2 linked regions of the Styela clava genome follow. The protein of the gene in region 2 purifies or fractionates together with the protein of the main gene of each other region. This does not show direct contact. Links are inferred from orthologs where the notes say so. Each region holds a gene or a part of one and is shown on either strand. Other genes may lie near its edges.

Region 1 (7,461 bases), on a different chromosome or scaffold from region 2:
CAAACAAACAAGATCCGACAAAAGCTTTGTAAAATACATTCAGCCTCGGGTATTGGTCATAGAAAGCTTTCCTGCGTGATGACTTTGTCAAACGTATCTTTCAACATTCTAATTATAATAAGTATTTAGGTCTGTATATCAGAGCATGTTCTCGATAACATATATTGGAATATTACAGATACAAAATTAAATCAATTATAAACATAGTAAACCTGAATTTTGTCGGTCTTCACACAGAAGTTAGCATTAACACTTTCTGTTGCTGTGAGTAATTAGCTGATCGAACAATATTCGGCAACTAGTAAATAGATGTCTAAAAAGCAAATTCATATTTACATTTTAAATGCTTATTGGCAGCATCTTACCATGTTATCAAACAAATAACATTATCACGTGATAATCACAATTGATAAATATTCACTGAATTACAGAGGGTCATCACTCATTTCCACTAGTAAAGTCAATAATACAGCCTTAGCAAATCGGAAACAGAATTTAATACCAGCAAAAGATGGTCAAAACCAAGCTGTACCCTATAATTCCCTTCTATATAAACAAGAGAGCTATGCTCAAATATATGGACACGTAGAGTCACATAATTTTGATGACGTCATAGCGAGAAAAAAAAGTAATAGCCTTCTGGAGGAAATTTTTATCTTCAACCACTGAAAATTCCAAAGCAATTGGTGCAGTATTCGAAGAGGAAAGCGATTTCTTCAAAACGTGTTGACGGAGACAAATAATAACAATAACAACAAAATTTTGAAACGATCGTTATGTCCAATACGTGTCCAATAACTAAACTTGTTTAAGTCATTGTTTTTGTTCTAGGAAATTAAGATTGACACCCAAACATGACTTTATCAAAATGAATATTATGTTCAGTCAGGTTGTTTTACATACCCCCAAATTCTGAACAATTTCATATTTAAATTGGTCGATAAAAGAAATACAGTATGAAAATCAGTTGACTGGGTAGCTTTCTTTTTGGCATAAAGGATAGTCATACATGCAATAAACACCAAATTTGAAAAAAATTGTCTGCACTTAATTCATTCACACAAATGTAAATGGGTTAGGTTAGCCAGTTCATTGAATTGAACAGAAGTCAATGGTAGTGATGAATATTGTGAGTAACAATATTTTAAACATATAAAATTAGTGGAAAAGTATTATACTGTTAGTCAAACATAATAAATTAATCAACAGTTTCATAAACCTCTTCTTCTTTTTTTGCCTCTTCTGCATCATCAGCATCATCTTGCTCATCGCCTGCTCCTCCTCCACCAGGCACCCACAAACCAGAATCTACACAACGTTTCATATGATATTTAGCTTGCTCTGGTTCGAGAGAAGCGATTATTTTCTGAAGCATTGGAATATCACGCTTTTCGAAACAATCTTGCATTTCTTTCGGAAGGGTTTCAAATACTTCCTGTGGGTCGAGACCACCTGGACCTATTCTTTTCTCGCGTTCCTCTCTTTCAATCTCTTCCATTGCTTTTTGAATTCTGATTTGAGCTCGATCTTTCACTCTCAATTTGAACGCTGCGAGTTCATCATAGAAACCAGTATTATAAGATTCATCAGCTCTTTTGAACTTTTCAAAGAATGAAACGAAACAATTTCTAGGATCTTGTTTCAGAGTTTTTGCTAACTCAAGGATAAACTGCAAAATGATAGTCTGATGGGCGACCGTTTCCATCAAAGCATGTTTTTCTTCAACTTCTAAATCGATGCACCAAATCACGAGGAAGTTTGCAGCTTTGTCACAAACTAAATAAGGATGGTTTTGAAGATATTTCTGAATGTCATCAATTTTTGACATCATCCCATAAGTTTTGAGATCCTTTTCATATTTTTTAGCATATGCTTTTTGACGTTGCATTTGCTCCTCCTCGTTTAGATTTTCTTCAGATTCTTTTTTAGGTTTAGAGATCATAGATTTGCTGAATCCTTCTTTGCATATTGTGTCAATGTTCCATGGTTCCGATTTTTCTTTTTTTGCCAGCTCTTCTTCTTTCTTTTTCCACTTTTCTTCTTGTTTTTTCAATTCAGCAAATTTGGATTCAGCCTCTTTTTTATCAGCTTCTTTCAAAGTTTGCTGCATTAATTTCTTTCGCATTTCCTCAATTTTATTCTTCTCTTCATCCAGCTTTTCCCTCTCCTTTTTCCTTTCTTCCATACGATCCACTCTCGCCTGATGGCGCCATCTGAATAGACTTGGTGTGTCTATATTTGGATGGGTGTCATCCTCATCATCGGAGACCTCAATGTGATCCCATTTGCTGTAATCTAATCTGGCCATGATGCAGTGATGTGAGTAGTACTGGACTACTGGACTATATTGCCTGTAAAAGTTGATAGAATAATATAGTAGATGTGACTGTGTGATGAGAAATCTACTGTAAAACAGAAATAAGTGATATATATATATCAGTACATTCTCCATCATTTAAAGTGTTACACACCATTATGAACTTCAACATTCAGGCATTGCTGTATTGAATAATTGGCTACTAGCCTACCACTATGTAGACCATATCAAAGGAAAATAGGCTATCGATAAAAGTAGGGTACCGAATGTTTCAGTGCACTCGGCACTGTCGCACTACAGCATTAACAATTCTTCAGTTTGTTAAAGTTGTTTCATATCTATTTCTAAGTTATCATATCAGTAAGTATAAGCATCACCTAAATTTTATAACAGTTCTAAGGCAGAAAAATTATTGTCAAGATTCCTAAATTTCATTGTCCAGACAAATGCCCATTTCAGCATTTGGTATCAAATAAAATCCAATCCCTGCAAATGCTCGTGTTATTTCTTATAAAATACAATGACATCAACACATTTACTATTTTGTTTAAACTTACATTCAGACATTTGAATGACAATAAAAATAGAATAGGATGCATATTCTGGATTTTATTCAAGTACCGTATTCTAGAATATTCTAAAATAATACCGTACGGTAACTTATTTTACATTGCCCATGCCATCCCTAGTTCTCACCCAACTATCAGACTATATTCTGGTTAGCTGTATTCCTTGTTTCAATAGACTGCGACACTGCTTAGACTATTCCCTTTTATGGGCTGCCCAGCACCAAGATTTAGCCAATACCTGAATACAAGCTTTGCTCAACCATAGGCTACAATTATGGCTTTACACAAGACAGAGCAACGATTCCACCTCTAGTGGTCCAGGGCTTCGGAGTCGTGGTCAAAATATGGGAATTTCAAAATTTTATTATGACCTCTGGAGTGAAAATTTTCCAAAGGAACTAAAATATATTCATAAATCATAAAATTGTAATAAATAAATAAAATTCCTAACATTGTATTTTATAAAGGCTCAAAGACGCCAAGTCCTTGTCCTCATGTTCTGGTTGTGATTTATTCTAGTTTCAGTTGAACAGAAATTGAACATAAGAGAGATAGGTGCACAACTCAAATGAGGAAACGTGCCAAATTTTTCAAAATAATCTTATCGGGTGTCATGCACAATCGTTGGTATGATCCTTTCCCCGAGCATGGACTTCCTTGTTTATTTCGTGACATCGGCCAATCAGCAAGATGCAAAAAGTGACGTAACAATGCCCCCTTTTCGCATCCGCTCAGACATTTTCCTCACTCAGACAGATTTTCAAGCGTGGTTGTAAACATTAGCTCGTTTTCGCGTTTTTGAACTCTATTCGTTAGTTTTCAGCTGTGTTTCGGAAACATAAATATAAATCAGATAATTCAATGATCCTAGGAGTTTTAATTTAATTGCAGTAATAAAAATTAGTGTAGAAATAGCTGTGATAGACTAGCCTGAAATTCTTCACCGGTACTTTTGAAAACAGATTGTTGTATGCGATGAATCATGATGATGGTTTGAAACACATACTCCATTTTACAGGCGCCAACTCTCAAAAGCACTCTTAAAATAGCCCCGAAAATATTGCACTGGTAAAGTATGGGAAAATTTTTTCGGGGGTCAAAGGTCGGGGTCCCGTAAAACACACATCAAACAAATTTTAATAATAATACATAACAACGAATATTTATTTATTAAAAAAATTTTAATGTCCTGAAAAACTGCTGATTTTGATAGAAACGTGATATTTTAATGCATATCATGAATAAAATTTTTATTTTTACAAAACCATTCGCGTGCCACGTTTGAGCGTATGGCGTACCAAATTTGGCACGCGTGCCACGTGTTGTGCACCCCTGAATTACGGTATGGTTTTTAAAAATTTGAATTTTTTTAAGTAATCGTGAACATGGGGGGAGCTGACTCTGATGACCTTATGGTCGTATCGCTCCCTCCAGTCTATACCGAATTAACTTTGTGAATATTGTATATATTTTTTCGTATACCATTGTTTGTTTTCTGGTTGACAAAACAATGAATCTCTCTCTCTTAGAAATTTAGTAACAAATAATACCTTGTTCACATTTCTAAAAGTTGCACGTTCTACGAAAAAGACGCTCATACTGCAAGAAATAAGCACTACAATCTGCCCTATATTCTCTACTTTTACGGCAACATTGGCCAATGAACGCAGACCTCTGTATGACGTAACATTTAATTTGATCAGCTGTTCGCAGGCGGATGAATCTTATTTTGTAGCCTTTCCATCGTCTTTTTTAGTTTTATTAGTTAAGTTAGGCTAAGACGGTGTAAAAAAGTATAAGTAAGTTATTAAACATTTGCAGATCCTTGCCGTGGATAAAGGCCGTGAGACGAGGCTTTAAATAACGCCCAGCAAATAAGTTTTGTAGCGCACATCTGGTAACTAAATAAATACTTTAGTTTTGTATGAAAATGAACATACTGAACGCATTGCATTACAGCTTGTTTCACAATCCTGATGCGAAATTGTACATAAGGGGGTTTCCAAAAAATTAATAACCATAGGTTCACAATAACATAGCATAGGAACTATGCAATTCAAGAGCTCTGTTGCACACTAACACAAATGTATTTCTGTCACGTTTTGTCTGACCAAAATCAGACTTCCTCAGACAAGCAGTTTACAACAAAAAACATAATAAGAAATTGCATTTATTTCATAGAAGCTATTAAACGTATTTATTTTTAAGCAATGAAGTCACAAATCAACAATCGCGAGCACAAAAACCCAAATAAATCAGGTATTTCTCACTTAGAAATTTACCGAAAAAGTCGAGAAAATTAAATTAATACAGTATGTACATAATGTAGTGAACAGAAATATTACAATTAGACTTTTTTCAGTTTATGTGGTTGTGTATTTGAAACAAAGGCAATATTATTTATAGAAACAGGATTTTCGACACTAACAGATGTCTGAAAAAAACTAATAAATAATATTTATTGAATCAACTTCAATATCTAATTCACTTTCTTCTGAATTGCCTTCGAAATCCACATTCTCGAAAATCGACTTTTCTTCAATAAGTGTACTGTGTTTTTTGCCGTCTATACAAAAACAAAAGTTTGTGCAATTTAGGTTGTTTTTGGCACACATGCATAAATTATTTTGACGCCTATTTAGCTTACACTTGCAGTTTGCCAACTCAAGAACTGATTTGGGGGCTGTAAGTAGATCCATCAATTTAACCCGCAAAACACCATCATCAAGAATGAATTCATGGCCAATAGGTGGGAGAATAATTCCCCTTGGTTCTAGGCAACAGGATGAATCCTTGTCTAGTAATTTGTACTCAGAACATGCTTCTTCAGTGAATGATTGTTGGGTGGAAGAGTATAATCCATATGTTTGCCAGTTTTGAAAAGACGTGCCCTGGTATCATTTTACATTCTTCATATCCTCTTCATGCAGTGAACAAACAAATTCCTCAGCTTTATTTAATAAGGCCTCGTTAACCTCAAAATATCTTTATAGTTGCGGAAAAACTCAATGAATTTCGAGTCCTCCAACATCAGTTTGATGGGCAGTTTCAAGTGCAGAAGAATGCCAAAGTATTTCAATATTAATAGCCCATCTAAGCTGTTTGCAACTGTTATGTTCTCATATACCTTTACGCTTTTCTTCAAGACTTCTTGTTCGATCCATTTTATTTTCACAGGTATAGAGCTGATAGCAGCGGGGATTAAAGCCTGCGTTAGGTTGAATTTGTGGAACATTGCCGTTTTCTTTTGTAGTACAGTATCTAAAATGCGGGAGAAAATCATATTTGGAACAGCATGAGTGTAAAAATACCCCTAAATACTGACTAATACTTCTCATACATAATGCATTTTATCTGATGTACTACAGTCCTGTAGTGTTTGCATACTAGACTATATCTTCACTGAATCTCTATATATCACAGTCTGAAATGCCCTATGGCCTATATTTTAAAACATCAACTGTCGGTCTACAACTTGATTTCTTACCTCTCAATCGCTTCAATGCTACTTTCTTTCAACTCCGGCATAACTTATCATTGCTTCCCAGGTTCTTGTCGACTCCATGAATTTAGACCAACTGATATAAGTAATATTGATTATTCTCCCCTTTTTCACACAAACGTGCATTACAGAAACAGCCATTATTTTCTGAAACAAATATGTCGTAAGAGAGTGAGATTTATTGCCACAAAAACAAAATCAACACTAATATAAACAATAATAGATAATAATATAATGAAGAAAATATTTCATCAGTAATAAACAGCGATTGATTGTTGTTTTGTGCGGGTCAGTGTGCAGGACCGATTAAGGTCATCTAGGCTCCCGACCCTTTTGTAAATGCTGTATATAAGGTTATCATGGCATAATATAGTACCATGGGTAAATGCAAATGGGATAAAATAAAATATATATAAGATAAAGAAATGAGTGAATGAGTAGCCTATGATAGTAGTATAAGTCTGCTAAATAGTCAAGAATCGTCATTAAATTAATCATAAATCTTTCTAACAAACTTGAAAATATTGTATGTTAGTCGTTGTTTGTGACATATTATTCTAGGTCTAGCATACCTTGGGAGTTACCGTACCCTAGCTATTTACCGTTTTTTGAATCTAGTGCTCAACTGAAATTGCTATCTTTGGTAAAGATATACAAATGTCTAATAGCTTACTTATACTTTTTAACACCTTCTTAGAAGAAATCAACTAGCCTAATAATACCTGAAAAAACTACCGTATGGAAAGGCTACTCAACGCAAAAGCGAGCAGTACATCTGATATTCATCCGACCACAGGGGATCCACCTACAGCTGGCCAATTTTGATTGTTACATCATGCAGATCGTAGCGCATATTTCTTGTAGTAAAAGCGTCTTTTCCGTAAAACGTGCAACCTGTGGAAATGGGAACAATTCATTATTTGTTACTAAATTTCTAAGGAACATTTTCAAATCATTTTCAGGTAGTTCCCTTATGTGCGCTACGAAACTGAAAGATAAACGGCCTCGTCTCGCGGCCTAACCGATTTCCAGGTAATTGTTTATTTCTTACTATTATTTGTTTATGAATTTGG
Region 2 (7,010 bases):
TAAGATTTCATTGATTTCATCTTTTTTGATTCAACAAATGACAGATTATTATGCCTCATGCCAAGTCAAAAGGGTTATAAATTTAGAAGTTGGATACCAATGCTAATTTGTACTAAAAAAAAATTTTTTTTAATTTTTAATTTATTGCAAAGAGTTCGAATGAGAATAAAAAGGTATTATTTGTTGAGTCATTTGAGAATATAACAGTGTAGTGTTGGTTTTCCAGAAGATGAGGAAATATTTTAATGTGAAAAACTTCTTCTCTGATTTTAATCAATTGAGTTTAATTGATTGAAAAAAATTTATAGATTCACAATTACAATTTTTCTAAACATTGTGAAATTAACTCAAAAAATCAAATTTTAAAATCCTTACATAACTACCAAAATGAACTATAACAATAACCTAAAAGTAATAATGTTAAGTGAATTACCAATTTGTTGCAAAAATCTTTTCACAAAAAATTCAGGTAACATTCTTCTTGTTGAAATAAATCTTGATAAATCTCCTCCAGCACAATATTCCATGATAATATATATGTAATTTGAATCCCACTAAAATAATGAACACAACAATAACTTCAGTTCAATAATAATATCAATCACTGAAACAAACTATTTGACACAGGTGAAATTGACAAATCTGCTGGTTCTATCAGGCGTACTGAGCTCCTTCCAAAATTAGTACTACTCAAATGGCTTTACATAAGCCTGCATGGCTCAGTAAAGCATCTAATGCGAACTAAAAAGTTGACAAACAAAACCAAAATATTTATAAATAGTTTTATAGTAACGCTAATGTAACAGCCGTCAACCCAAAGAGGAATATAGTCAAAAATAAAATAGATAATAAAAGTATTAATCTAGGCATTATTAGCGAATTATAAACTTCCTATCCCAAAAAATTGGTTAGATATGTATGGTACAATAGTAACCCTATAAAAGCAACCAATTGTCAAAACAGATTATCTAACAACCATCTGGTAGTAAGATGCCAAAGATATTTACGTATAATTAGGTATATTTTTCATCTTTTCCCTTGCCTAGGGATAAATAAATGACCCAGTTGTGACCGACTCACAATAACACAAACTTTGGTTCCAAATTGAAAATAGTTAAGAGCCGAGAGAATAATGAGGGTTTCAAGGTGTTTTCTGAAACTGTGTTCCCACTTGAATTTGATTAAAGCTTATGAAAGAATTTGGAAAATCATGGTCAAGTCCGACTACATAACCTTCCAAGCTGATGCCTGAGCAGTGTCTTCTGTTTTAGTTTTTCTAAAGATGGCAAAGTATTTATTCTATTAATATTACCTGGAAGTCGAGCATTTTAACAATATGAGGATGATCGATTTGCTTCAATATCTCTATTTCTACAAGTAAATTTTCCATCGATGCTCGGTTTAGACTTGATTTTTTGATACATTTTATTGCATGGACTTCTCGCTGATCACTGCTCTGAAATATAAAATTATTTATGCAATTATGAAAGAATAAGATTGGATATTTTGACAAGAAAGCTTGACAAGTCAGGTGGAAATAGGAAAATTGTCCAGTCTATAGGATGTGTTAAAATATTTAGTTGGTTGAAATTCATAGAGGGACGTGTAAACAACAGGTAGCATGAATTACAACATACATGGTGGACAGATGTCATGAAATACCCTTGACGTTATCATCCACATCTTGAATTTAAAAGCTTCAACCAAAAATTAGCAATGCAATATTTCAAATTTTTCACATTCATAGATACGTTTTACAAGGTAACAAATCATAAATTAGGTGGAAATGTTGAACCCAATTTTGTCACCACAGATATCAAATGTATGGTATCTCCCGACGTAACACACACTACTTGTCTAGTGCCTTGTTTGAAGTGAAGGTATGAAAAGTATTTGAAACTTGCACAAAATATAACAGTGGATGATTGTATAGGGCAGGGATGCTCAACTATTTTCACCTAAGGTACGCATACAAAACTTCAAAATTATTTGGATCCGGTCTTTCCAGAAAATATATTTCCGCTTCCTTAAACGCCCATTTTCTTGGCTGGCTAATGATTATTAGCTAATCAAGATTGATTATTATGGGGTTATAGTTCTTTTCATAATATTCAAAATTATCAAAGTGATTTTATAAAAAGAAGCTGCAAAAGTGGGGCTAATGATCCAAAATAAAGAATCAGTTGCAGTCCGAATCAAATACTCGAGAAAAGTCCAGATTCGGACCGCGGTTCGCCATTAGAGTAGCCCTGGTATAGGCTCCTGTTCGAAGCAAAAAGCCCGAACAAGCATTGTTAAAAAATAGGGTCTGGTATAGTTTAGTACCACATGTACTTCTAGTTGACCTGGCTCAACAGTTTTTGCATATGTCAATCCTAACCCCCACCTGACTACGCCACCAAAAAATTACATCATTTCGACGTCACAGTGGCGTAATAAGGCCCACCGAAGTATGCGGATGATCGTCCAAAACGCACAGACGATCACCCGAAATCGAGCAAGCAATCTCTCTCGTTTTCTCGTCACAACGATCACTATAGGAGAGAGATCGCCGGCTTTAGCAAGTTCGTTATCGGCGGCGCAGATGTCATTTCGGGCGATCGTAATTATACTTTGGCAATCCCTATGACGTGATGGTGACTTCGTAGAGACGTAATTTTTGGATGACATAGTCAGGTGGGGGTTAGGAATAGCATATGCAAAATTCTTTATGCTACGCCCACCGGAAGTACAGAAGTACCTGTGGTACTAAACTATACTAGACCCAAAAAATAACTATGCTCACTTTTTTATAAGCTTTATATACATTCGCATATGTTCCGCTTCCCAAGCGCTTTGTAAACACGAATCCATCCAAGTTAGGTTGCTGATGTGGTTTTGTTTTCAATCCCAGAGATTGTTCTGATAATTTGGAATTCCCATGATTCATCTTGACAAGTCCTTACATCCAGACATTTGATGGCAGGATTTTGAATTCTTGTATTTTTATATTTACGATACCTGTAGATAAAATGGTGCTTCATCAAAAAGCCTTGCTGAATAGGGTCTGTATTTTTTGTGACTTTTTTATGAGTGGGCACATGATATTTTTCTAATTTTCAACTCTTTGCTAGCTTCCAAAAGTCTTCATTTTTAATTTGCGCATATTATAGAATTTTCAAAAGCAATTGTAATTGTTGAAAGTAGCTGTTAGGTACACTGCATGGAGGGCAGAATATTAAAATAGAAAAATTCGGTAACTCCCCGGTCGGGGTCTACGTCTTCAGAGGTCCAGCTCTCAATAATATTTTGGTATTGTGCAGTCACGCGACCGAGCAAAGATAAATCAATCAGTTTGTATTTATTCCGCGTAGGATTTTTTTTCAATTGGGAACACCAAAGGGTATATATATATATAGGAACACTGGACATATCTGTTTGTTTTGCTTGTCGTCGAAGGAATTCAACGTCTGTTGGATCATTGCAGTCCGGTTTAATTTTACAACCGCGATACTCAAGACTGGAACAGGCTAGTCTTTTGATGCGATGAGTGAATGGCCAGCAATTTGCTGTGGAGTTTGTCGTATCTGTTGTTTCACGGTGAGGCTGCAACTTTAATCGTTGTATACCGGTGACGTTTTACAGTTTTAGGTAGTCCAGATCATTTGGATCTTCACTTGAATAAATGTTTCCTTTCAATTCGATTTTAAATTATTTTTTAAGCTTTTCCCCATTTTTTGTATAGGCTATTTAATATTTTTTGTATTAAACTCATTTTGTAATAAATCGCAAAAATAACTTATTTTTTGAAGCAAAGTGCTATAGAGGTAATCCAATATCACTATTCAGGTGTACCAGAAATGCTGCTGTATCAAAGAACCTCCTGCAATACCTGTGTATGATTTGTTATGCCTAGGAATAACAAATGCTGGAAAAACTACTTTACTGAGTGTCCTTACATCAGAAAACATTGATGCAATTGTACCCACTGTCGGTGAGTTATTTTTTGGTATATTATATATATATATTATTATATTTATGGTATATTATATAACTTACTATGCTTTGCCTTATGTTGGTTTAACGAAAAATTTCGAATCTAATCTTCAATTTAACGTCAGTCTCAAATCCCTGACTAATATTTCTTGCATAAAGGTTTCATCATCAAAGACATCAGACTGCCAAATGCTGTGTTGAAAGTAAAAGAACTTGGAGGTTTGTTCTAAATATGACCAATTATGATTATTATATGACATTTGGAAAAATTTTTGTTTAAAATATGGAATGTAGAACAACCTGCTTTTGCTTAATGATTGATAGGCTAAGTAGAGTGAACATTTGGCACATTGTCCCTAATGAAACGAGTCAATACAACATAGTATTCCCATATAAGTGACGGTAACCTTGTTCAAACTGTGCATGGAGTAACGTCATTAATTTAAAATTCTTTGTATTCTTTCATGAGGCATCTAAGATTAGCTGTGAGACGCTCATCTAAGTTTAAAGTATGATTTTGAAATGTCTTTATTATCTTATTCAGGTGCGGTATCAATCAGACAGTACTGGCATAGATACTTTAATGATGTTCAAGGTGTTATATTTGTTGTTGATGGTTCCTGCACACAAGATGAACTTCACGAGACAACAGATGCATTATATAAAGCAATACAAAACCCGGAACTCTCAACTAAACCTTGGCTAATCCTTTGCAATAAACAAGATCTGGAGGGTGCATGTACAGAGGAGAGAGTAAGTGCATACTATATTGCATTTTTTCACCCATTAGATCAGGGATATAGCGGTACAATGCACAGAAATTTGAGAAAAAAACTATCTGAACATGTATGAGAATTGAGCATAATCTTGTTCATATAGAAATATATTTGGAACACTTTAGGCTTTTAAACAATATTGTCTAGATCGGGGCGTGTCATATTACCAACATAAGACATATCTAGCTGGGTCGCACAAAAAGTTTAATTTTCTATGCACACAACAAATTTATTATTACGGTACATCACAATATAATGTGGTAAACCAGCATTCTAAAAGCCTGCAGCAACGAAATTAGGGACATCTAGATAGAAAAAAGAATGCAGCTATCCCTTAACCTTACAGTTCCAAAGGCGCCAAGCAAAACGCAGCTACAAGAGCAAAAAAACATGTATTTTACCCATGTGAGCGCCTTTTTAAAAAGTTTTATGCTCGATATGAAAAATCTTGAGTGTTGACAAGGGCCACATGCCACACACTCCTGCTCTGGATCGCATCTATTTTTGCCCATGTTGAGCGCCTTTTCAAGCAAATCTCGTGTGTTGACAAGCGCCATGCGTGCATACTCCTGGTCTGGATCAAGATAAATTCTTAACCAATTCATGCTAACCTGCACAAATGACTTGGCTTTTGTATAAAGACATGCTATAATTTATTTAGGCTGTAGAAGAAATGAATCTTACTGAAATGTTGAAAGAAAAACCAAATATCATTGTCAAGTCCTGTTCAAAGACTAATCCGGATGGATTGAGATCCATTATTGAAAGATTTGGGAACAGACTGAATGAAATTCATAACCCAGAAATGAGGGAAACTTTCGATGCTGTGTGACAAGCACTGGGGACGCAAATTTATTATTGCATGTGGAACAAATCGCTTGATAACTCGAGAAAAAGGGTTTTTGTGGATTTGGAGACAATACTGTAACCAGCTGATTTCATATAACCCCATTTTTGGTCTATATCTTCTTGCATGATAGTATTATTCTGACTTTAAAAAGTATCATGACCAATTGCTGTCGTAATTTTACAGAAAAATAGTACATAGATCAGCTTACACTGTGCATGTATCTCATTTTAGTTTTATTACCTATTTTTTCACAAGAGAACAAAAATATCTATAAATATACAGGACTTATGACAAATCATTTCATTGCTCTTCTTGAACGTTTATCCCAAGAAAAGTTAGCTGCGTATGACTTCGGCTGCATTTGTTTTTCAACCGGTTCCTCTATGAAGTATGACCATCCTAAATATTCGAAGAATATTACGTAGGTTATTAATATCAGCCAGTGGAGTTGGGAGAATAAGAGTGTTTCTAGTTTCCACGTCAAAGGGTATTATCGCTACTTTGGTGCTGAAGACTAGATGGGCTAAGAACGTTAAACTGGTGATTTAGGCTTCTAAGTGTTGCAGGAAATCAGAAGTTACTTTCCTACCATTCTGAAATTACAGAATGTGGAAAATGGTATTTCAGGGTGAAAATAAACAGGAGCAAACCCAAGGATATTTTTAATCAACTAATTCGGAGTCACTGCAACATTATATAAATATCGAGTCAAATTTATTTGTAAAAAGACAAAAATCACGCAAAAAATGATATTTACATTACTGGGAAAGGAAAGCGGGGGAACCAAAACTGGTTATCGAGCAGCAAGATTCTAACATCTAATTCAACAGCTTGGGGAGAAGAGTTTCAAAATGACTGATATCAATGGTAAATACCATATGAATTTTGCAACTAACACCGATTATTACTAGAAATTATTGTGTAATAATATTAAATGAGCCATAAGACCGGGAAATTCCTGTTTGCACTGGAATAGCTGGGGATTTTTGATGGTGACATGATTGTATTGTGGAGTATTCGGCAATGAACACCCATAACGAATATCAGGTACAATGAATTAAATAAAATTAAGTGTATTACCTTGCCTCTCCACGAACTCCATTGCATGCTCTTTGGTTTTGAAACTCATAGCCATTGATATATTTGAGAGAGGATCAGAACTGAGAATATTAGAAACTATGTTAGTAGCAATTAGAAGCAAACTTTTTGTTTCCAAGAAAACCCCATTCCCACTGGTCCATTTGCAAACACGTAAATCCATGTGTGGCTATCACCACAAGACTACTGAAATATATTTCGTGAAAACAATAGTTTATGGCGAACAGTATCACTTGATAATTATATTTAAAGTACAGTACTTTCGTACCATTACCACCATTAAATGCATAAAAATAGGCCGTGTGGCACAT

Evidence for each region. Proteins that work in one complex are often made in the same cells at the same time.
Region 1: the proteins of serine/threonine-protein kinase ULK3-like (region 2) and hsp90 co-chaperone Cdc37-like purify together in Homo sapiens (affinity purification with mass spectrometry; 3 studies listed by BioGRID and IntAct, with this or other methods). This does not show direct contact. The link is inferred for Styela clava from reciprocal best matches to the Homo sapiens genes ULK3 and CDC37.

What each region holds. Positions count from the first base shown.
Region 1 is NC_135253.1:13,560,481-13,567,941, reverse strand, and holds hsp90 co-chaperone Cdc37-like, read right to left. Parts: upstream 3,030-7,461; 5' UTR 3,014-3,029; intron 2,352-3,013; 5' UTR 2,309-2,351; coding exon 1,199-2,308; 3' UTR 313-1,198; downstream 1-312. UniProt on the Homo sapiens protein: Co-chaperone that binds to numerous kinases and promotes their interaction with the Hsp90 complex, resulting in stabilization and promotion of their activity. Inhibits HSP90AA1 ATPase activity.
Region 2 is NC_135257.1:17,387,811-17,394,820, reverse strand, and holds the start of serine/threonine-protein kinase ULK3-like, read right to left. Parts: upstream 3,029-7,010; 5' UTR 2,930-3,028; coding exon 2,786-2,929; intron 1,457-2,785; coding exon 1,313-1,456; intron 555-1,312; coding exon 434-554; intron 1-433. Other genes in the region: ADP-ribosylation factor-like protein 15, read left to right, coding at 3,526-3,579, 3,829-3,973, 4,135-4,194, 4,520-4,728, 5,413-5,583; NADH dehydrogenase [ubiquinone] iron-sulfur protein 4, mitochondrial-like, read right to left, coding at 5,897-6,000, 6,682-6,761. UniProt on the Homo sapiens protein: Serine/threonine protein kinase that acts as a regulator of Sonic hedgehog (SHH) signaling and autophagy.